4 linked regions of the Schizosaccharomyces pombe genome follow. Changing the gene in region 4 together with the main gene of any one other region gives a genetic interaction. Each region holds a gene or a part of one and is shown on either strand. Other genes may lie near its edges.

What was found.
Region 1: of sts5 (region 4) and pyp1, extra expression of one rescues a mutant of the other (dosage rescue), as found in Schizosaccharomyces pombe (2 studies listed by BioGRID).
Region 2: mutations in sts5 (region 4) and ppb1 are lethal when combined (synthetic lethality), as found in Schizosaccharomyces pombe (2 studies listed by BioGRID).
Region 3: of sts5 (region 4) and ssp1, a mutation in one rescues a mutant of the other (synthetic rescue), as found in Schizosaccharomyces pombe (2 studies listed by BioGRID, with this or other methods).

The regions. Positions count from the first base shown.
Region 1 is NC_003424.3:5,159,666-5,163,890, forward strand, and holds pyp1 (protein tyrosine phosphatase Pyp1), read left to right. Parts: upstream 1-1,846; coding exon 1,847-3,499; 3' UTR 3,500-3,695; downstream 3,696-4,225. Other genes in the region: GTPase-activating protein Gyp51, read right to left, coding at 4,076-4,225. UniProt on the Schizosaccharomyces pombe protein: Plays a role in inhibiting the onset of mitosis. Dephosphorylates sty1/spc1 and wis1/spc2/sty2.
Region 2 is NC_003423.3:2,872,171-2,876,618, reverse strand, and holds ppb1 (calcium-dependent serine/threonine protein phosphatase calcineurin catalytic subunit Ppb1), read right to left. Parts: upstream 2,698-4,448; 5' UTR 2,623-2,697; coding exon 2,484-2,622; exon of another isoform or gene 2,440-2,483; coding exon 2,233-2,439; exon of another isoform or gene 2,079-2,232; coding exon 760-2,078; 3' UTR 510-759; downstream 1-509. Other genes in the region: S-adenosylmethionine decarboxylase proenzyme Spe2, read left to right, coding at 1-386; oxa102 (translocase Oxa101), read right to left, coding at 3,492-4,448. UniProt on the Schizosaccharomyces pombe protein: Calcium-dependent, calmodulin-stimulated protein phosphatase. This subunit may have a role in the calmodulin activation of calcineurin. Appears to be involved in cytokinesis, mating, transport, nuclear and spindle pole body positioning, and cell shape.
Region 3 is NC_003421.2:1,876,735-1,882,858, forward strand, and holds ssp1 (calcium/calmodulin-dependent (CaMKK) protein kinase Ssp1), read left to right. Parts: upstream 1-1,712; 5' UTR 1,713-1,979; coding exon 1,980-3,938; 3' UTR 3,939-4,581; coding exon of another isoform or gene 4,582-4,992; 3' UTR 4,993-5,305; coding exon of another isoform or gene 5,306-5,338; 3' UTR 5,339-5,576; downstream 5,577-6,124. Other genes in the region: aro2 (chorismate synthase), read left to right, coding at 1-752; histone lysine methyltransferase Set7, read right to left, coding at 4,582-4,992, 5,306-5,338; SPOM_SPCC297.05 (diacylglycerol-binding protein), read left to right, coding at 6,034-6,124. UniProt on the Schizosaccharomyces pombe protein: Involved in actin localization and thus in polarized cell growth.
Region 4 is NC_003421.2:677,804-684,600, reverse strand, and holds sts5 (Dis3L2-like 3'-5'-exoribonuclease), read right to left. Parts: upstream 4,767-6,797; 5' UTR 4,240-4,766; coding exon 1,039-4,239; 3' UTR 518-1,038; downstream 1-517. UniProt on the Schizosaccharomyces pombe protein: Required for the maintenance of cell shape during interphase. Required for localization of cortical actin to the growing tips before mitosis.

The sequences.
Region 1 (4,225 bases), on a different chromosome or scaffold from region 4:
CCTCTCCCTTCCTCCTCTTAACCCTTTACTTGCTCCCAATCCTTTTTATCTTTTGGGTTTCCTGTTTAAACGTTGGGTAAAGTATAAGATTGGATCTTATTTTCATCGTCGTTTTGTTGGATCGTATGAAAAATTTTACCTTGGTTCGTCGCTCAGTCCTTGCTCTGATCGTTTGGTAAAAATCAAAAATCGTTAGACTTGATTTCGTTGACGTTTAGTGCGTTTAATTCTCTTTCTTAGATTTTTTCCTCCATCCTTCATCTCGTCAACAGTTCTCTCTGTTGTCTCTCCACCGCTATACGTAGCTTTTAAAAGTCGTTTGTTTCATTACCTGCGCCCATCTTTTCTTTTCTAAACTTTAACTCAAAGTGAATAAATAGGAAGAACTAGTCTTTTTTCCTTCCATAAAAGAGCACCAGATATATCGTTGAATCGCCGTGCTTTTTCTATTTGCTTCATTTTTTTATCCCGTACGATGCAAAATAGTTAATTTCTTCAACTTTTCTCAACTTTTGTTTCACCACTTCTTTCTCTCAATTGGGTTAGATTTTTCTCCTTTTACATTTTTTTTATACCTCCCTCTTTTTTTTTCTTGTTTCCTTTTCGTTGATATTTTCATATTTTCGGAATTCTCCTTTTCTAGTTATCCTATTTCTCGTTTCATCATTTTCTTTGTCTTTTCTCAAAAAGGTGTACTCTTGGGTTTCTTTCCACAGTGTAGTATCGCTTTTTTTGAACCTTTGAAGAGCTCATATATTCCTTTCCCTTGAGTTTTTCGGATTAAGTTTTGAATTTTTTTCCCATTTTCTTCATTGCTTTACCGTTTGTTTTCACTTCACTTTGGGGTCTTGGTGGTTACTTGTCTATTGTTTTTTTTGTGGGGTTCTGCATTCTGAATAGTTCTGTTTCTTTTTTTCTGAACTCATCTGTCTAAGTATTCACCATTCATTTGGTTTATTTACAGACGTGTGCTCTGTAATTTTCATCCTTAGTTGACCTTACGTTTTTGCTAGTTTGTTGCATCAACGTGCTTTTGGTTCCCCCCTTTAGCTTTGAATACGCTTCTGACTTTTAAATTGGGTTTTCTGTTTTGTAGGAAAATTATTCCATTGTCATTACATTTCAATTAGCCTCTACCTCTTTTCGTTCCTCGATCTCCTACTTGTATACTTTTCTGCACTTTGACAAACTGCAACTTATAATATTTCTTATACCCTCTATCTTATATTTTTGTTCAGTCTGGTTACTGTTTTCGTGCGTGTGCCCTACCTTTTTGCATTTTCTACTAAATACGAAATAATTTCTTAAATAGTGTTGCTTTTTGCAATCTTGCACTGTGCACTCACAAGCAGTATTTTTATTTTCCTCTTAAAATCGCTTGACCTTTGAAGTGACGATTCATTAATCCGTTAATTTTTAAGGATTCCCCCTTTTTATTCTCATATTTGCATAGTACTGATTCAAACCCATTCTTTGAATTGGATACTCCTCATCCCCTCTAAAACTCTTCCATCTTTATTTTCTGCAGAAAGTTTGAATTGAAAAACTTTTTTCATCTCAGACTTGATTTGAATCTTCTCTTGTTTCCTTCTATATTTTACTAATTTTATTGCCAAATTTTGCGTTAATTCTTTCCTTTTTAGAACCCTGGATTTTCCGTAATTTTGATATTTCCTATCCATTCATTATTTTGCTTTCGGCCTTCAAAACTTGTGCTATCCAATATTTGTATTTTATTTAAGAAGTCTGAATTTTTTTTTACTTTTTTACTTTTTTTTTTAATCATCTCTGCTTCTTTTTTAAGGCCAAATATTCTTAATACAAAACATTCATCTAAAAAACCACGATGAATTTTTCAAACGGTTCAAAATCGTCTACTTTTACAATTGCTCCTTCGGGTTCATGTATTGCTTTACCTCCTCAGCGGGGTGTAGCAACGAGTAAGTATGCTGTTCATGCTTCTTGCCTCCAAGAATATCTCGACAAGGAAGCTTGGAAGGATGACACATTGATCATCGACCTTCGTCCCGTATCCGAGTTTTCCAAATCTAGAATTAAGGGCTCCGTCAATCTTTCTTTACCTGCAACCTTAATTAAGCGTCCTGCCTTTTCGGTCGCGCGTATCATCAGCAATCTTCACGACGTCGACGACAAGAGAGATTTTCAAAACTGGCAAGAGTTTTCATCCATTCTTGTTTGTGTTCCTGCTTGGATTGCTAACTACGTAACGAACGCTGAGGTAATTGGTGAAAAATTTAGAAAAGAATCCTATTCTGGTGACTTCGGTATTTTAGATTTAGACTATTCGAAAGTCTCGGGCAAGTATCCATCTGTGATTGACAACTCTCCTGTAAAAAGTAAATTAGGTGCTTTGCCTAGCGCTCGCCCCAGATTGTCTTACTCTGCTGCTCAAACTGCTCCTATCTCTTTGTCCAGCGAAGGCTCCGATTACTTCTCTCGTCCTCCTCCCACTCCTAATGTTGCCGGTTTGTCTTTAAATAACTTTTTCTGTCCTCTACCTGAGAACAAGGACAACAAATCTTCTCCATTTGGCAGTGCTACAGTCCAGACACCCTGCTTACACAGTGTGCCCGATGCTTTTACCAATCCAGATGTTGCGACCCTCTACCAGAAGTTCTTGCGCCTGCAATCATTGGAGCATCAACGTCTAGTTTCTTGTTCGGATCGTAATTCTCAGTGGAGTACCGTTGATTCATTGAGTAATACATCGTATAAGAAAAACAGATATACCGACATTGTTCCTTACAATTGTACTCGTGTGCATTTGAAAAGAACTAGCCCTTCAGAGCTCGATTATATCAATGCTTCCTTTATCAAAACTGAAACTTCAAATTACATCGCTTGCCAAGGTTCTATTTCTCGTTCTATTAGCGATTTCTGGCACATGGTATGGGACAATGTGGAGAATATAGGCACTATTGTTATGCTTGGTTCATTGTTCGAGGCTGGCCGCGAAATGTGTACTGCATATTGGCCAAGTAATGGTATTGGAGATAAACAAGTGTATGGAGATTACTGTGTCAAACAAATTTCGGAGGAAAATGTCGATAATTCTCGATTCATTTTGCGAAAGTTTGAAATTCAGAATGCCAATTTTCCTTCAGTTAAAAAAGTACATCACTATCAATATCCTAATTGGTCTGATTGTAATTCTCCTGAAAACGTGAAATCTATGGTTGAGTTCTTAAAATATGTGAACAACTCTCACGGATCAGGAAATACTATTGTGCACTGCTCTGCCGGTGTTGGTCGGACAGGAACCTTTATTGTACTAGATACGATCCTACGCTTCCCAGAAAGCAAACTTTCTGGTTTCAATCCTTCTGTCGCCGATTCTTCAGACGTCGTTTTCCAGTTGGTTGATCATATCCGAAAGCAGCGGATGAAGATGGTTCAAACCTTCACACAATTTAAATATGTGTATGACTTGATCGATTCTTTGCAAAAATCTCAAGTTCATTTCCCGGTTTTAACATGAAATTTTTGACTGGATTTTTCTTGGCAATATATATTCGTGTTTTAATCGATTCCTTTATTTCTTGTACTTGTAAAGTGTCTTTTTTTTTACATTTGCATTTGAATTTACTGTCAATGTTTGTGAAATTCAGTTGCTTTAATCACGTTGTCTTTTATTTCAAAAAGTATATTTGAGAACTAGGCTTTTTAATGATATCTTTTTTTCTCTTAAATTTTCTTTTTAGAACTTTGTAAACCTATTTTTTGTACAAGATAAAGTCATCAAACTGATAATAACCTTGTATTATTTTCAGATGCTTTTTAAAATTTATTACTCGATTTCTTTAGGCAGAAATATAGAGTTTAAGCGAAGTGGTCGTGATCAAGAGCAATAGAATTCTTTCTTCACTGATTAAAGGTGAGACGATTCATTAAATATACATTCATTTGAACTATCGTTTGTATGTTTTTAAGTAAGACAAACTTGCAGGAACAAAGATTTTTTATAATACACATTAAACGTAACTCAATATAAATAAATTATTATGGCAATCATTAGGATGCAGATATTCCAATAGTACCTAGAATGCTTTTATATTCACTTTGTCTTTATGCGGTTCATAAGCTGACTCCATTTTTGTAAAGCCATCATATGGTCCTCGTCTAAAACGGCCAAGTTAACTTTAGTTTCAGCAAGCTGCTTTTCTTTTCTAAAGATTTCATCTTCGAGAGACTGACTTTCAACCAT
Region 2 (4,448 bases), on a different chromosome or scaffold from region 4:
TTAGAGACTTATGTAGTACCTCTGATAAAAAAGCAGTGCTTGATGCTTTTCAATTTGAGCCAATTGGGTTCTCGTCGAATATGATTTACAAGGACCGCTATGCCACAATCCATGTTACGCCTCAAGAACATTGTTCTTATGCTTCATTTGAAACAAATGTTTCGCAATTCCAATTCGGAAGATCCATATCTGAAACAATCGAAAAAACTGTTAAAACTTTTGGTGCAAACAAATTTTGTCTTACCCTTTTCCAGGCTAAAGGTGCGTCTCAAGAGAAGCATTTCTCGGCCAAACTTAAATCTTTTAGCTCTTATAAGCGTGAAGAATTTATAGTGTATGACTTTCCTGGATATGATCTTATATTTGCCAGCTTTACTGCAGTATAAGTTCGGAGAACAGTCAGCTAGATATTTTAAATTATCTGTTGCTATATTTATTATCATTCTTTTTTACGGTGGAGCGTGCCATGCGAATACCCCTTTTTACAATCTTTCATTATGCAAAAAGTAGTCGTCTTTTGTTTGCTTGTTTTATAAAAGGTTTCATAGTTATGAATACCAAAAAGTTTATTATGAATATCTAAATGCAATGCTTATGTATCTAGTCATCGGTTATCTTGTATTATGCTAAAGTAAACTCATTTGCTTTCTTTATTTTGAGTGTTTAGATATTTGTTGTAAGTATGCTTAAAACCTCGGATCAGGTTTATGCTCATTGAAAAATTCCAACTAAAAAACGAATATGCGCAGGTTTTGGTATCTACAAAGAGCTTTTCTTATCTGCAAAGCGTTCTACCAAATGATCGATAGAGGTATCATCTTCAGACGAATTCATTACTTCTTCGAAAGCCTTTAAATCCGTAGAACGTCGACGGCTATTAGATGGCGGTAAACGTTCATTTTGGATATCCAGCTTACGAGCATCATCGAAGGAATTGATAGCATTTTTGATACCCTCAGCTCCCAACATTAAAGTACCCGCAGGTAATCTTTGCGTACCTGACACGTTTTTCAGTTCCGAAACACTTTCCCGTTCTTCTCTAAGCACACTGAATACTCGAGAGATACGGCCAATAGCCATAATCTTGTTTTTAATAATTTGCCTACGAGCTTCAATATCAATTTCTTGGTCGGCTTTATTTTCATTCTCAGATGGAGCAGGCTGTTTATGCTGAGTCGGAGCCGATTCTTTCAAATCCGTTTCATAAAGCTCCTCCTTAGAACATATATTGAGCATTGAAATCAACATTTCAGAAACTTTTTCGCCCACAAATGGAAGACTCCAAGTAAAAACATCCATAAAGTTAGGAAGCCAGTAAGGATGAGGGGAACAATTAAATTGTCTTATATTCATTACATTATTTTCGTATTTCAAAACAGCAGCTTTATTATTGTAAACATCCAAATAGTTGGGTGCTGAAAATATGGTCATCAAAGATGGAAACCCGGTTGTTTTAGTTTTGCGATACATTCGATAGCCCACATCTTGAGCTTCATGAGCACGAATAACGGAGAGGAGATTATTGTTTTCTAAGAAGGTGCAAACAGCTTGGTAACTATAAAAGTAAGAACAGCCACGAACATTATTATGAATAAAATGCTTGTTTGATTTTTCCGATCCAAAATCTTCAAGGGGATCAGACCAGAGTAAATCACACATCAACCCATGAGTTGGAGGCTCACAAAAACGATTGATCATTCGTATATCATTCAAAGTATGTAGTTCGGGTGATAATCCACCATGTACACATAAAAATTGCTTATTCATAATAGCTGCCAAAGGAAGGGCATTAAAAGATTGTAAACAAGCTTCATAAACTTTAATATTATACTTATGAGTACATTCTAACTTGAAGGTAAAATAGTCAGTAAGATGAGCGCATTCGTGATTGCCACGAAGCAACCAAAGCGTTTTCGGATACCATATTTTCAAAGCCCACAAGTACAATAAACACTCAATTGAGAAATATCCTCGATCCACGTAATCTCCAAGGAAAAGATATTGGGTATTTGCTGGATTACCTCCAACTTCAAATAGTTTCATAAGATCATAATATTGGCCGTGAATGTCACCGCATACTAAGCTGTCAGACCGAAGAATATTGCAATACAAACAAAATATCGACCCAAATTAAAATGAAGGAAAAACATAGTCATAAATTACATTTCAAAGTTCTAATATTTTACCTTATAGTAATTAGGGCCTAAATATGAAAGGTGATAATCAACATACCAGTGACAGGTGCATCCACCTCAATCAAGTTGTCTTCTGACTTCAAAATTTCTGTAGCCTTTTTTATAATATACAACGTTTGTTCCTCAGATAAACGGCCTTCCCGAATGAAATGATTGCGAAGAAAATGCAAGTCAGGTTTATCAGGTTCATTAATATCAAAAAACTCCACGTCCGTCGGAATATAAGTTGCTGGTGCTTGAACATCTTTGATTGTTAATAAGACTAATTTCTTTCAAAAATATCCGTACTTTTCACTACTCTATCCAGTGTGCTAACACTAGAGCCATCTTCTTGAACAAATATTGTAAAATCATGAGAAGGAGCTTGATTTTTTTGGCGAATTGCTCGAACTATTGGGTCTTCTAAATTATGAGGACCCGAAGTCATATTAGTAACTTTTGCAAGCCTATATACAGCCTGGGTAAAATGCTAGATATTCTTGCAAAAAGTTTTGGTAGATTCTGGTTTGTTATACTTACATCGTCCCGGCGGTTTTGGAAAATGGTTTAACGAAAAGCAAAGAAATTCGTAATTGCTTTTCTCAATGAACCATGTGAACAAAAAACATATCTGTTTACAATTCTAAGTACTTTTTTTTTTTTTTATAATATAGATATATTTCATCATAATCTTTACTTCTGTATATTTAAAAATTTACAAACAATCGCCGCTTAGACAAACATATCTTAATAACCAATCGTGTTAGTAATAAGAAATGAACTTGTAGAAAGGGAACCCAAATACTACCTGAATTCCTTCCTAATTATATTGCCTTGCTCATTTTTGAGAGAAGCAAACTAAGTTGATTTGATGAAACTTACATTCCATGATTACCTAACTGAAATAACGATAGTTTTATTGATAAAATAAATATCCATAAAACACTTTAAGAGTTAATAATCATTTTATTTTTTGTTTAGACGGCTACGTCAAATTTTAGGTTATTGTAAATATTCTTTGATTTCTCATCGCTTTCCGTAGTAAAGAATTAGACAAAAGCGATTTTTAGAAAGAATAAGCAAAATAAATGTAAATTTGGGTATTTTATTAGAAGTAAAGGAAATAGAAAAGAGTGTTGCAAGTGTGAAGATATATGCAAAAACTAAAACATATGTAAAATTATGGGATAAAGCCAAAGGAAAGAAATGAATAATGCAACAAATGTAAAAAATTAACCATATCTTACAAACTTTTATGCTCTCAATAGGACATTGGAACACTTCTAAGAAAGAGAATTCCAAAGCACACAAAAAAGCTTAATCTTTCTTCTCGGTGGGTTTGGTAACAGAAGAGGACTTGTCATTTTGAGAATTATCAGATAGCGTAGTAGCTTTGGTAATTGTACTATTATTAGTAGGTTTTTGCTCATTGTTTGTATCGGTTTTAAGGAAACGTGTAGCATCTAGTATTTCAGAGGCTTGTGGGTATTTACCTTTTTCTTGAACCCCATGGACAATATCGGTAAATGACTTAACAAACGATTCATTTTGAGCGTTCGGTACTGGCATAGCAGATGGGACTTCTGGTAAGCCAAGTTTATGCCTTATGGTGGATGAACGCAAAAATGCCCCTTGAAATACACTGAAGACATTGCTAGGAAACCAATACATAAAAATTGCCATAGGAAAATTCATAGTGAATAGTGGACTGGCAAGGCAAAGAAATCTAAAAAATTTTTTCATTGAGGGAGACATAGCAACCTTATTACTTCCAGTTTCGCTACCAAGCTCTATATTGAGCAGCATAAGAAGGCCGTTTGCAACCGGAAATATGTGTAGAGGATCAGGCTGGGATAAATCATTAACCCACCAAAAACCACCATCAGTGAAACCCTCTACAGGTACACCCGCCATTGTCTTCAACGCGTAAAAAAAGCTAATAAACAGAATTCCCTGAAATACAGGAGCAGAAAGCAAATTCAAAGGGTTAACATTGTTAACTTTATAAAGGTTTTGGATTTGAGTGGTAGCTTGCATCATTAATTCGCTGTTTCCTTCAGCCTTTGCTTTACTCAACACACTCATGTGTTCAGCAACCTTTGGGTTAATGATAGCGAGCTTTGCGGACGTTTTCATCATCTTTAACATAATAGGAAATACTGCAATTCTCATAGCAACAGCACATGCAGCAATTGAAGCCCACCAAGGAAGGCCGCTCCAAATATGAAGCGTATTAAGGCCGTTTTGGAGGATATTATGAGGTAAGAAAGAAAA
Region 3 (6,124 bases), 1.2 Mb from region 4:
CTTATGGTGTCGAAATCGTTGCCTTTGTTTCCAGTGTAGGCAAAATAGCCATTCCATTGCACGAAACCGCTTCTTCCGCCATATTGGACCCAGAGGATGATACATTTGAATCTCCTATAACCGCTGAATATCTGAAATTCCTCAATAAAATTACGAGAGAGGAAGTCGATAAAACCACTGTTCGTTGTCCTCATGCTGCGACGGCCGCCAAGATGGCTGAACGTATTACTCGAGCTCGTGATAACCACGATTCCATCGGTGGTACTGTAACCTGTGTGATCCGTAATGTTCCCACCGGTCTTGGTGAACCATGTTTTGACAAACTTGAGGCCAAGCTTGCTCATGCCATGATGAGTATTCCTGCCACCAAGTCTTTTGAAATTGGCTCAGGCCGTGAAGGCTGCAAAGTTGCTGGATCCAAGCATAACGATCTTTTTTACCGAAATGCTGATACTGGCAAGCTTGGTACCTTGACCAATAACAGTGGAGGTGTCCAAGGTGGTATTTCCAATGGCGAAAACGTTTACTTCACCATTGGCTTTAAGTCTCCTGCTACCATCGGCGTAGAACAGTCAACTAGCCGTTACGATGGTAGTGACGGTGTTCTTGCTGCCAAGGGTCGTCATGATCCCTGTGTTGTTCCCCGTGCCATTCCCATCGTTGAAGCCATGGCTGCTCTTGTCGTTATGGATGCTGTCATGATTCAACAAAGTCGTATTGCCTCTCGAAACCTACTCCCCAATGCTCAATAAATTAAAAAAAGTTAAAAATAAGCTAGTTTGGGGGCAAGAATCTCACTTCAATTGAGTTAGCCTACTGGATTATCTTATTTTGATGCGCCAAAAAGAGAGGATTAGATATACCTTTTGTCTCTTAGATTACATATGTACATTTTTTTTGGAGGGTAAATTTAACACAAATTAAGGCATATTTAACAGATACTTGTCAATATAGTGTGTAAGATTATAAATGAATATTTTTAAAAAAAGTAAAAAATTTAATACACAAGAAAAACTAAAGAAGTGTTGCAAAGAGTATAAGACCTTCTCTTCAACTAGCAATTGATGTTTGTTTGTATGCAGATTTTTTTCATGTTTATTACACAGACACCTGCGGTACACAATCTAAATTGGTGACCAAATATAGCTTTTGCCATTCTCTTTTAATCTTGCCATTGATTTTTCTCTCATCTAAGTATTCATACTTACACACTGTGTATGCAATTATGATATATTATACCGGCAGTTTGGTCATGTTGCAAAAAATTTTTTTTGCTAATGCCGTTTATCGGCACATCGTCTATGCTTGTAGATGAAGTAAAGGATTATTATTATGTAAAAAAAAAAATCTTTGGATTTATGGGTTTTACTATCAACGTTTCCATACTTGTGAGAAAAAGTGGTAGTTGTTTTAAAGTAATATTTTGAATAATCGAAATTTGTTATAGAATATTTCTGATGTTCCACACATTTTACGTACCAAAAAACCTCTGTAAGAAAATAGTATTCTATTATGAAGCCTTCTTCTCAGGCGTACTTCTCGTTAGTCCCACCTATGATGAAATAGCAACCATCCCGTCTACTATCTGGAAAAGGAGGATTACGTATAGTAGTGTAATACGGAATAGTGAAAGGTACTTCGCAAAAATGATCATTCCAAAAGTGCTCATCGTCATCCCTCACCAGGTGTCGTGCTACGGTATAGATGTACCTAACCTTTTCCAACCACCAGTATAACGTAGGCTTGATTTTAAACAAGATATTAATCAATTTTGGAGATTGAGGACTACTAAAAATCTACAAGTCTTAAAGAAGAAATAAATTTCAGAGTCATTTAGCTTGGTAGCTTTACGACTATAGCCCCGCCGAAATACGAGTTGCCTAGTCCCCGATAGAGGAAAAGCTCGATTAGTAAATCCGGTAATTCATGTACTTATTGACTATTGAAGCTATTTAAGAGGACTCGAGGAACACTTCCTGATGGGATCAGTGAATAATGAAGAAAAAACTTTAATTGAGCCACAACGTCTTTTACGGAAAAATACTTGGCATCCAGAGGTAGACGATAGCGAAGTTCCTCCTTCTGTCTTTCCTGAATATCCCGTCCACAAGGCCATCCAGAAAACGTCCGATTCATTTCGTAAACGGAACTACAGCGCGGGAGATTATGTAATAGCCCCGTTGGGCGGAGAACGTGAAGGAAGTTCGTTAACTCACTCATGGACTTTTCAACCTGGTAAGCATAACCAGCGTCTTTATTCTGATAATTTTCAAGAGGCTCAGCGCCAGTGGAAGCGCCTGCAAGAATGGGGCGAGGTGAAGGAAACAAAAAAGATAAGAAAGCGGTTTGATCGGTTTTCGGGTCGTAAATACATTAACCACTATGAGATTATAAAAGAACTAGGACGTGGTATGCACGGTAAAGTCAAGCTTGGCCGTGATACCGTTACCCGCGAACTGTTGGCGATCAAGATCATCCCGAAGACGGAACGTCGTCCGAAACTGGGCCGAGCCAATGCTTCCAGTCAAAAGGAAAAAGTTCGTCGCGAAATTGCCATCTTAAAGAAATGTGTCCATCCTAATGTCGTCCGCTTGCGCGAGGTCATTGACGATCCATCCTCAACGAAGGTGTATCTTGTTTTAGAGTACATGAGTGGTGGGGAAGTGCCATGGACAGATTGTGACTCCCCCGTACTCTCGATTAGCGAGGCAAGACAATACTTTCGCGATGTTGTCTTGGGTCTAGAGTATTTACATTACCAAGGCATTATTCATCGAGATATTAAACCCGCCAACCTTCTCCTTAACTCTTCTAATTGTGTCAAAATATCTGATTTTGGTGTTTCGTACATTGCCAACGCTGGCCTGAATGAAGACAACGACGTTGAGCTTGCAAAAACTGTCGGCACTCCTGCTTTTTTCGCCCCTGAATTGTGCTGGACCGATTTGGATCGCCCAAGGCCTAAGATTTCTGAAGCAATAGACGTATGGGCTTTAGGCGTTACTTTGTTTTGCCTTTTGTTTGGTCGTTGTCCATTTAATGCTAGCATGGAGTATGAGCTTTTTGACAAAATCGTCAATGAGCGTCTGAACATCCCTTCTACACCCGACATTGGTGAAGAGGGTCGAGATTTGCTTAAAAGATTATTATGCAAAGATCCTGAACAACGTATAACACTTGTAGAAGTAAAACTTCACCCATGGACATTGGATGGCTTGAAGGATCCTGAAAAATGGTTGCAAAACACTGATCCCAGTACCGTCAGTCGTGTTGAGGTTTCTACAGACGAAGTTGCTTCTGCAATCAGCCTTGTGGGTCGTCTTCGCAGAAAACTTGGTAAGCTGTTTCGTTTCCGCCGTCCAAAAGCGCGAGTGTTTGATTCTTCCTCCTCTGTTCCTTCCGACTCTTCCATTTGTCGGCCTGAGAGCTCTGGTAATTCTTCAATTGGTTTATCCGCGTCCGAGTTGTCCGATTCTTTTAATCGGCTTGCGGTGAATGAGTCTCAGAAGGATCGTGAAAGAAAGCAAGTACATCCTGTCGAAATGGGTCGTAATAGTTCTGAGAAAAAGCCTAGATGTGACTTTGGCTGGGACTATGAGGCATTTCCCAATGACAATCAAGATGCTGATGATGCTTGCAGCTATAATACCGGCGACTCTATTCCACAAGTCTCCAAATCCATTAACGGTCATTTCGAAACGTATAGTCGCACGTCGATGGATACGGATGATGTAGCCTCTTTCGAATCTCCAAATGCGAAGCATGAGGAAAGTGGAATGCCTGTCGTTACTTTTCGTAATTATGAGAATTATGATGCTAATCCGTCCAATTTTCATCCAGTGGTTCCTGGTTTTGTATCATCACCTAACCTTCATTTAGCCGGGGGCTCTGACACACCTATCTACTGCATTGAGCATTCCTTCACACCAACTAATTGAGTGCTGTATGAACATTTCCCAATTTTATTCAATTGTTTTTTTTTTGCAATGTAGGTTGCATGTGTCTTTTAATTACTCATTTCTTATTCTTGGCTTTTTACCTAGTGTTCAATAACACTTTGTCATTCGTTTTCATCAAATCATGTCATTCGGACCTTTTAGATTTTTATTTGTCCTATATGTTTGCCCCATCTCAAGAGAAGCCTTTTTTTTTCCTTTTTCTAAATAAGACGCTTAGGTTCCAAGTCTTTTGGAAAAAAGGTGACTTTATTGATGATTCTTGCGCATTCCACTCGTTTTACTCGTTTATTTTAAAATGTTTTATTATCTAATGTGCCTTTTGTTTACCTCGTATATCGTGATTTTTTTTCCTATGAGCAAAAAAAATTTACTGATTAGACGTTGAAACTGGTTTTTTTGATGAATTCTTCTTATTCCTGGCATAGGAAATAAATATCATTTTATTATTTTTTTATGACCTAGTTTGTAATTTCTTCTATGTGCTGTTGTGATACAAATCTATTGAATATAGGTGAAGTGGGGCAACTTTTGTATGGTGTGATTTAGAAGACAGACAGCAATATTGCTACCATTTGAGAAATTTTATCTTCTAAAGCCTACAAATTGGACGTATGAAGAATTTTTATAAACTAATATTTTGTAAGGGAAAATCTTCATTTTCCTCGTTTGGACTTATTCGTGAAGCAGATGATGCTTCGTCTTCGAACCACAGATGATCTCCGTATGAAATACAGAGTTCCTCATTTGTTTTTATCTCTCGTAATGTGTAATATGAGATGTAGTTATTGCGATTGTCTTTTTTCCAATACACGTTTGGATGACGGTCGTGATTGAACATACTTCCAAGTCCTAGAGCTAATCCTTGTTTGCCTTCGCTCCAAACATATGTGTATTCGTTAAGAACTGTATACTGTCCATGTTGTTCATATTCTTCTTTGCTGAACATCAATACAGGACTAATCTCAATGCATGTTTGTGCTGGAATAGGCTCAAGAGCAAATACTCCTCGGCCTTTTCGTTCTGTATCACGAATCTAAAGCGTTAGTAAACTTATAATTAGACACAATCGTTCAGTCTGTCGACTGATTTTACTAAAGAAAAGAAAAGAATGTGAAATGTTTTCTTTTATATAAATGATTATGAATCATGCTGTGAATCGTTGATCCGTAACATTACCCTTTCGATTATACAACAACAACAATCTTCGACATTTGCTTTTTCTACTGTCTGACTCAACTCATAGCAAAATTCACACAAATAAATATAAATGAATCGAAACACAAAAAAGTTAATTTAAAGTGACTTTTAACTTTCTTCTATCTTCTAGCTATCCTACAATACCTTACCTCAAGCGGACTACGAATAACAGGAATCCGCATTACAAAATCAATTTGACAACTGTCTTAATGATCGGTGTGCTTCACTTCTTACACCTTTTGTGAATTACTTAATTTTAGATGTTTCGTGTCTTTATAGATGAGCCAGGGAGTTGATTTCTTTGGGCTCACGTTTGATGTCTTTCTTTTTTCATATATTAAATTAGTAATTTCTAATAGAAATAAACCAAACAAGGAACTTATTTCACATATACGAATGGCAAAAATAGTTAGTAAGTTAATAGGAAAAAATTTATTTTTCCCAAATAAGGCAGCTATAAGACTCCTTAAACCTATTGTGGTGATACTTCGGGTCATGGTACGTTGCTATATTCACTTTAGTAGATAAAAGGTTATAGTGCGCTATGTTTTTCTATCGAACATTTTGCTGCATAAACAGTCGCAAGTTACCGTTTTCCATTTAGTGTATGGAGGATGCTTTTTGAGGTATTGGCGATCTGTAGTTAAATTGGCATTTGAACAGGTTGGAAAGTGCGTAGGAATAGTTATACTGTTAGCGTTGAAGTGCCCAATTCCTTACGAAAAAAGTTTCGCACGATTTATGTGGAATCGATTTGTGGCATATTTAGTAAGTTTATTCTTCAAAAATATAATATAAGCTACAAAACAAGTTATCTTTTCCTTAATTATTGCATATGCGATTGCGATCATTTACGATGCTTTAAGTTGCGAGTGGAATGGAAAGTATCGCAGATCATTTCTTTCTCGCAGGTCTCTCTAACGGATTTGTGAGTGTATCCAATTCTCAATTTCGAGCAGATAGACTTG
Region 4 (6,797 bases):
TAACTTGAAACATAAATATTTTTAACTTTTTTTCTATTTTTAAAGAGTATTTCATTTAGTTCTCATAATTTCTAAGACTTTGTGGATTAATAATTTTTTATAATCAGTATAGCATGCGTATACATCAAAATATACTCGATATCGAGTTAATACACTTGGTAAACAAAAGCCGATATAACAAGGCAGCGTTAAAAATGAAAAATAGTAATCACTAAGAATATTTGTAGAATCCTTTTCTTTTTAATATCTTATGCCGTTTTCATATCATAAAATAGGACATGAGTAACTAACACATCCCGGATACGTTTCATAACTATAAATTTGAATATTTTGTGTAAGAAATGAACTTAAATTGCAAAAAATCAACTGAAAATTGCTAAGATGTCGTCCAATAGTAGATTCATTTTAAAAAAAGAAACAAAAAATAAAAGACTCAGCTAACCCCAAACGACCGATAAGAATCCACTTCTGATTGCCTAATCGCCGCAGTGATTGCAAACGCAAACGACACTTCATCTACTGGTAAGCCAACAAAGTGACATGTATCAATATAAAAGCAGGATTTCATTTTTGAAACAAAATCCAATCTAATGTATAAAAAAGGAAAAGTTCAAGGTATCATCAACTCATGCACTCATAAAATCACGTATCGAGACTACTGGATTCCTTCATCCAACTCTATCATCGTGAACTATCGTAATCAAGTTTAATCATCCTTTTAGTTATATAACATAAAAAATCGGCATCTTAGTGTATAAGATTAAACCGAGTTTTCGAGCTCCTTGGCTATGCAAAACTTGTAAATCTCCAGAAACAAATATTAGACGTAAGTAACAGCTTCGTCGAAATTAAAGAGAAAAGTAAGAATGGGAAAAAATGCAGTTTTAGAATCGTAACATATTTTTTATCAACAATGCCTAATAATAAGAGCAATAATATGAATGAGAATATAAAGCCATTCCAGGCATCCGAAAATGAACATGTGTCACCAAAAAACACATACATGAAATAAACATTGCAAACAATCGAAGTTCAACATCAAAACTCGACATTTGAAACGTTGATAAGAGGTGGAGTCGAAAGCTGCACAAAGAGCTTAACTTTGACAGAGGTCAACAATTTAACAACTGTAACGGCTCCGCTCTCGTCGTATAAAGATAAAATGCCCTGGTCCTCTTCAAACCTTACGTGGGTTAGATTGAGCAAATCTAAATGAACACGTTTCTCCATGCCTAGAGATGGGAAAAATACGTCAAAATATGATGGAGCAACAAAACATACGAGACCGTCTTGCCAAACCTGACTCTCCGCCCAGTCACTAAATATTTTTATATGAATGCTAGTTTCTTGCGCAAATTTGCTTATAACCAGACGACGGCTTGCATCGTTTGCCGCTTGCGACCATACACGAAGGCGCTTTTCAGAAGCCAGTTCTCCTCTCAAAAGCAACTGCAGTTGATAATGAACTACAATATCACCATAACGTTCCAAAGGTGCTGTAAAATGTGTCAAATCGTCACTTTCGTCCTCAATACCAAGACTCATCATCTGGGAAGCGAGATTGCCTTTATACTTCTGCATTTCATAAACTGCTCTTGGGGTAACCTTATAATAATAAAGCTGCAAAATGTTACGAACAGTATCGTCTTCGATCAAACTTAAAGAGCGTAAAAGTGATTTTGTCGAAGACAAATCTAAAACACATCCCATCTGAATGGCCATACTTTGTAATATGCGACAGTTTTCTCGAGAGGGCAATCGCTGAGTCCTAAGGAATGCATTTTCACGGAATTCCTGACGCAAGTGGCTTGCAACGGCTCTATTAGCGGCATCCAAAAGAGTTTCACGTAAAACTTCAACCGCCGAGGAAATAAAAAGATTCGTTTCATTGGGATCAAAGCTGCAGCTTTCTTCATCCCATCGACGTACTAACCTACAATACCGGCTGAGTGGCACGTCTGTACCAAGATGATGAGTTCGTAAGCGACTGCTTACGGTATGGAATAAACGAAGTCTAGCATCAGTTTGAAGCAACTCATCAGCTTCCTTCATGGTATATGCCTTGCGAGGACGAATGACAGCCCATCCAATCCAAGTGCCACGAATTTTACCAGTTGAGGAAACATCCAGTAAGAGAGACATTGTATAACAATCCTTATCTTCTCGTAAAGATAAAGCCTCACCTAACGTAGTGGGAAACAAAGGAACCGACTTTTGGCAAAGATTCACCGCAATACTTCTTCGCTGTAATTCGCGATCTAATGGGGATCCTGGCTCAATAACACGAGAAACGTCAGTAACATGGATTCCTACATGATAACCAGTTGAAGTTGGTCGAATATGAAAGGCAGAAGAAACGAAATCAGTAGCAGAACTAGAATTGATGTTTGATTCATGTTGCTTGACTTCTGAAACGGCTGCTTTGCTAACGTCATTTTTAACAAATAAAAAGACATCTTCAGATCGATAATCTGCACAACCAGCAACGTTTAAAAAATTATCCGATAAAGCATTGAGTGCAGTTACGGCGGATGTAGCGGCGGATCCTTCCCATGGTTCACTATGAACACCCGTATCGTGTAATAAAGCGGATACTTGAGCAGACATAGAGTCCATAGATCCTAATTCACCAACCAACATACCAAAAGGATGTAGAGAAGTTACAGGCCAACGCTTTATAGAAGCTAAAAACAATCGTTGAGCATATGCTTGATCGTTACCCAAAAAGTCTGTGGGTGCTTGTTCAGTAGGAATTGCAATCAAAGGCACACGTTTATCAGATGGCTTAAACCATACGATTTTGGGCTTGTCATTTCCCGAGTTATTGGAAGAGCCTTGATTACCCGACGAGGTCTGCCTCTCCTTATTAGCGGCACTACTTGGCCGAAGTATGCCAAGCGTACCAGAAAATACCTGGCCTGGCGCCCTCTGCAAGACTGCTACGACATGACCAGCATACTTTGGCTTTTCGTCCGCACCAAGCTGCTTTTGGTCAAGAAGGAACAGGGTCTGCCCTTCCACTTGTTCATCATCTCTTGCTTTTATAGCAGACCTCTGAGGAACCTCAAACGGTACGGCGTCAATTCGAAGGTTGTCAAAAGAGCCTCTAGTAGAAATTGGGTCTTTACGCCTTCGATTCTCTTCCTTTTCAAGTTTACCAGCCCATACCTCGTCAACGTCTAACAGCTCTATGGCAACGACATCACCCTCAAGGGCACGATTGCGATCTTTCGAACCACATATGAATACTTCCGCATCCAAACCATCGACACTAACAAAAGCGTCTGATCTATTTTTCTTACTTACAATTAAAATACCCGTTACCAAACGACGCTCAGCGAGTAGAGCAGGAATCGATGACTGTGGTAAATAAGGAGAAAAAAGATTTTTACGGGGATTACCTGAACCTCCCGAAGAAAAACCAGAGCCAGAGGAGCCAACACTTAAGCTGCCAGTCGATCGACGATGACGATGACCACCGCCTTCAGGACGAAAGTTTGAGGTATTATGAGTTACAATAGTCCCAGGAAAAGATGGATTCGCGGCATGAGTAGGACTATTCGTTTGAGAAAGTGATGAAGGACGCCATTGAGCATCCAAATTACGAGGGCGCAATAATTGTGGTAAAGTGTTCAAGGCTGGTAAAGGAGATGCGTTGTTGACTGGAGGAACGAACGCATGGGGAGTAAACGGTACGGCGTTATGGGAATTGGGAGAGGAAACAGAAGCAACACTATGGCTTTTTGCATGCCGCCTTGGACTAATGTTCGTAGATGTAGCAACTGATGGATTTAAGCTAAACTTTGAAGGAACGGTCGGACTGTTAGGGAAGGAATCTGAAGAGGCAGAGACCGAAGTGGTGAAGAAATTAGTAGGGTATAAGGGTTGACCGCCTTGAGTCGGTGGTTGCATATTAGAAACGGCTGGAGAATTAGAAGGAATAGTGGCTTGGTTGGAAAAATTGCCCATACCAACGCCAGCACTAGCACTTCGACGATGGCCATGAACAAAGGACGATTCAACGGCGGGTAAAAGACCAGTGTGTCGAAGCTGATGCATGTGCTGCTGTAACGGTAGCCATGTGGGGCGATTAGCAGAGGGAGTGGTTTGTAACCAAGGAGTGGTGAGGGAAGGGTTTGCAGAAGGAACAAATGTAGGACTCGATTGCGCATCAGAAGGATCCTGTTGCTGATTAAGCATCACCTTGTAAGGAAAGTCATTTTCAAACTCCTCATCCATGACACGAAAAGGGTAGTGAGAAAAGAAGTATTAAAAGTTAAAGGAGCAGTGGGTTAACAAAAAATAAAGAATATAAAAAGAAACAATGAGATCGAACGAAAAAAGAAGTCGCTAGCAAAGAAAGACTGGCTAAGGCGAAACGAGGCACAAGATTCGTAATCCAAATTAAATACGTAGACCCCAACTGATAAAAACGGTTGCCTTTAAAGATATCAGGAAACGATCCAAAAGATAAGTAGAAGGAAACCCCAAAAAAAAAGAAGAAAGAAAGAAGTAAACGGGAAAACGAATGTTTACGGATAAAAAAAGCGTCTTATTAAGGAAGGTTGTGGTTCGAGAAGTGAACGAAAAACCAACAAAATTAAGAAAAGGAAAAAAAAGAAGACTGGTCCGTCAGAAGCGAAAGAGTTAGGCGGCAAATGAAAATCGCCGCGAAACAGTCAGCCCCAAAAGGAATTTTAATTCCTCAAATGTCAAAATCGCAAGGAATGAGGAAGTATGAAAGTGATCAGTGGTAGATCCTCGTTAATTAAGGAAAAAAAAAGGCCTGCTTATAAAAATCCCGATTCTACCGTAATGAATGATAAGAACGTAATTCTCACTTAACAAACAAAGTTAGTTGGTAATATCTAATACTTGAATTCCGAGGCGATCCGCAAGCTGGCAAACTGATATATACGGAGCGCTATTCGTTGTATCGGTAAAAAGAGGTAGGCTAAGAATGCACAGGGAGAGGGAGCTTAGCTAGCTAGAGTAGAACAGGCGAAAACCACCAGTTTCGCCAAGGAAGTGAGTTGCGAAAGAAATGAACAAAGAAAATGAGTGTCAAAATGGTAGACAAAAAATGGTTTGTTAGGTAAAGCGTAACTCCTAAATATCGTGAGGAATGGCCTCAGCAAGTGTGAAAAAGGAACAAACAAAGACAAAAGAGGGTATCAAAGAGAATATCGACTTGAACGATGAAATCTTAAGCTGAATAAATAGATTTATAAAATTTCGGTATAAAGCTAAGGCCGATTGAACAGTCAATTATCACAAGAAACGAAAGAATAGACCATTCGCGTTGAAAACGATGACTTGCGGACGATGGAAGTAAACTGACGTGTTCAGTATATAGGAAAAATTCATTAGCGTAGTGCGTTCGAAGACGTTATACAATCGATGATAAGAGTGTATGAAGAATTGATTAAACAAGAAGTTTGGAGGGAATGAGAAAGTAAGATGGAAAACGAAAAATTTGGCAAAACAAAATTAGTAGTGAATTACTGTTTATTAATAAAATTCGTTTTTGACAGGCAATTATGTGTTTCTCTTTGCTTTGAAAGTTGGTTTTTACCCACAAGAAGATTCTTACATCGGATATAAGAAGAAAGAAGTAGCGAAAGGTGGCGATCCAAGAACAGTAGCGCTCTTGAGCAAATTGGTTTGAACTACTGATTCTTTTGATTTTATAAATTATCGTTAATCGACCGGGCAAGCTTACTTCAACCATAAATCGTGGACAAAGTAACAACTGACATAAAAATGATGAGCATACGAAAATAGACGAAACGAGCAAAAGGCGAAAATAAGTAAACATGGAGCAACAAAGTAAATTTGGAAAGAATGAATTTCTTCAAACTACTCAATGAATAGCAATCGCCCTAGAAACATGAGTAATTGTTTGAATTAGTGGACGACTCAGACACGCATGGTAGGAAGACTGTTTACTCTATATAAGGATATTGGCAGCAACACATAAACCGCTACAACGATAGATACCGAAGACATTAAACTATTTTTACGTATATTTGTGCATTTTAATGAAGACATTAAAATTCGTTAACGACGTGCGCTGAATTTTTCGATTTGAAGAGGAAAGCATCAAAAGACTTAACAAAGTATTGAAAGAATGAAGCTCTTCAATAATATATTAGAGGCTATTTAAAAAATTTGAAGAACCTTGGTAATAAAAATCGGTGCAGCTTCATAATTATATCGTCGTCCCTACCGATGTCAATCATAATTAATTGCTTTCTTCGTAGGATAGAAATGTAAACTGTAGAACGTAAAACTTAAGAGGAAGGGAATTAGAAACATTTATTATATATATTCCTAACAACCCTTAAAGTGTACGAGTTTGTCAAAGAGCATGATGGGACTTTGACTTTTTTTACCTACCTATACTGCCCCAAAAGGACTCATGGCAGAAATAGGCTTCAAATAAAGTACAATAGTGATTACTAGCACAAATCCTTATTTTTTATTACTGGAATTTGCCGATTTATTATATGAAGATAGCGCGATTGTACGTTGATAAAGAAACGAATGGAATAAGGCACATCACACCAAAATCTTATGTGACAAAAATCTATCACAATACATCATTATACAAACACTACAGTAACGAAATTTTATATTATGAGTACCTGTGAATTTCTCTATTTTATTTATCGATACAACAGAGCAACTCGTTTTTCTTGTAAAAAGTAAATAAATTCAATTTAGTAAACGATTTACGAACTTCTTCTAAGTTACGACATATTGCATGGAAGAACGTGAGAATGTTTGTTGGTCCG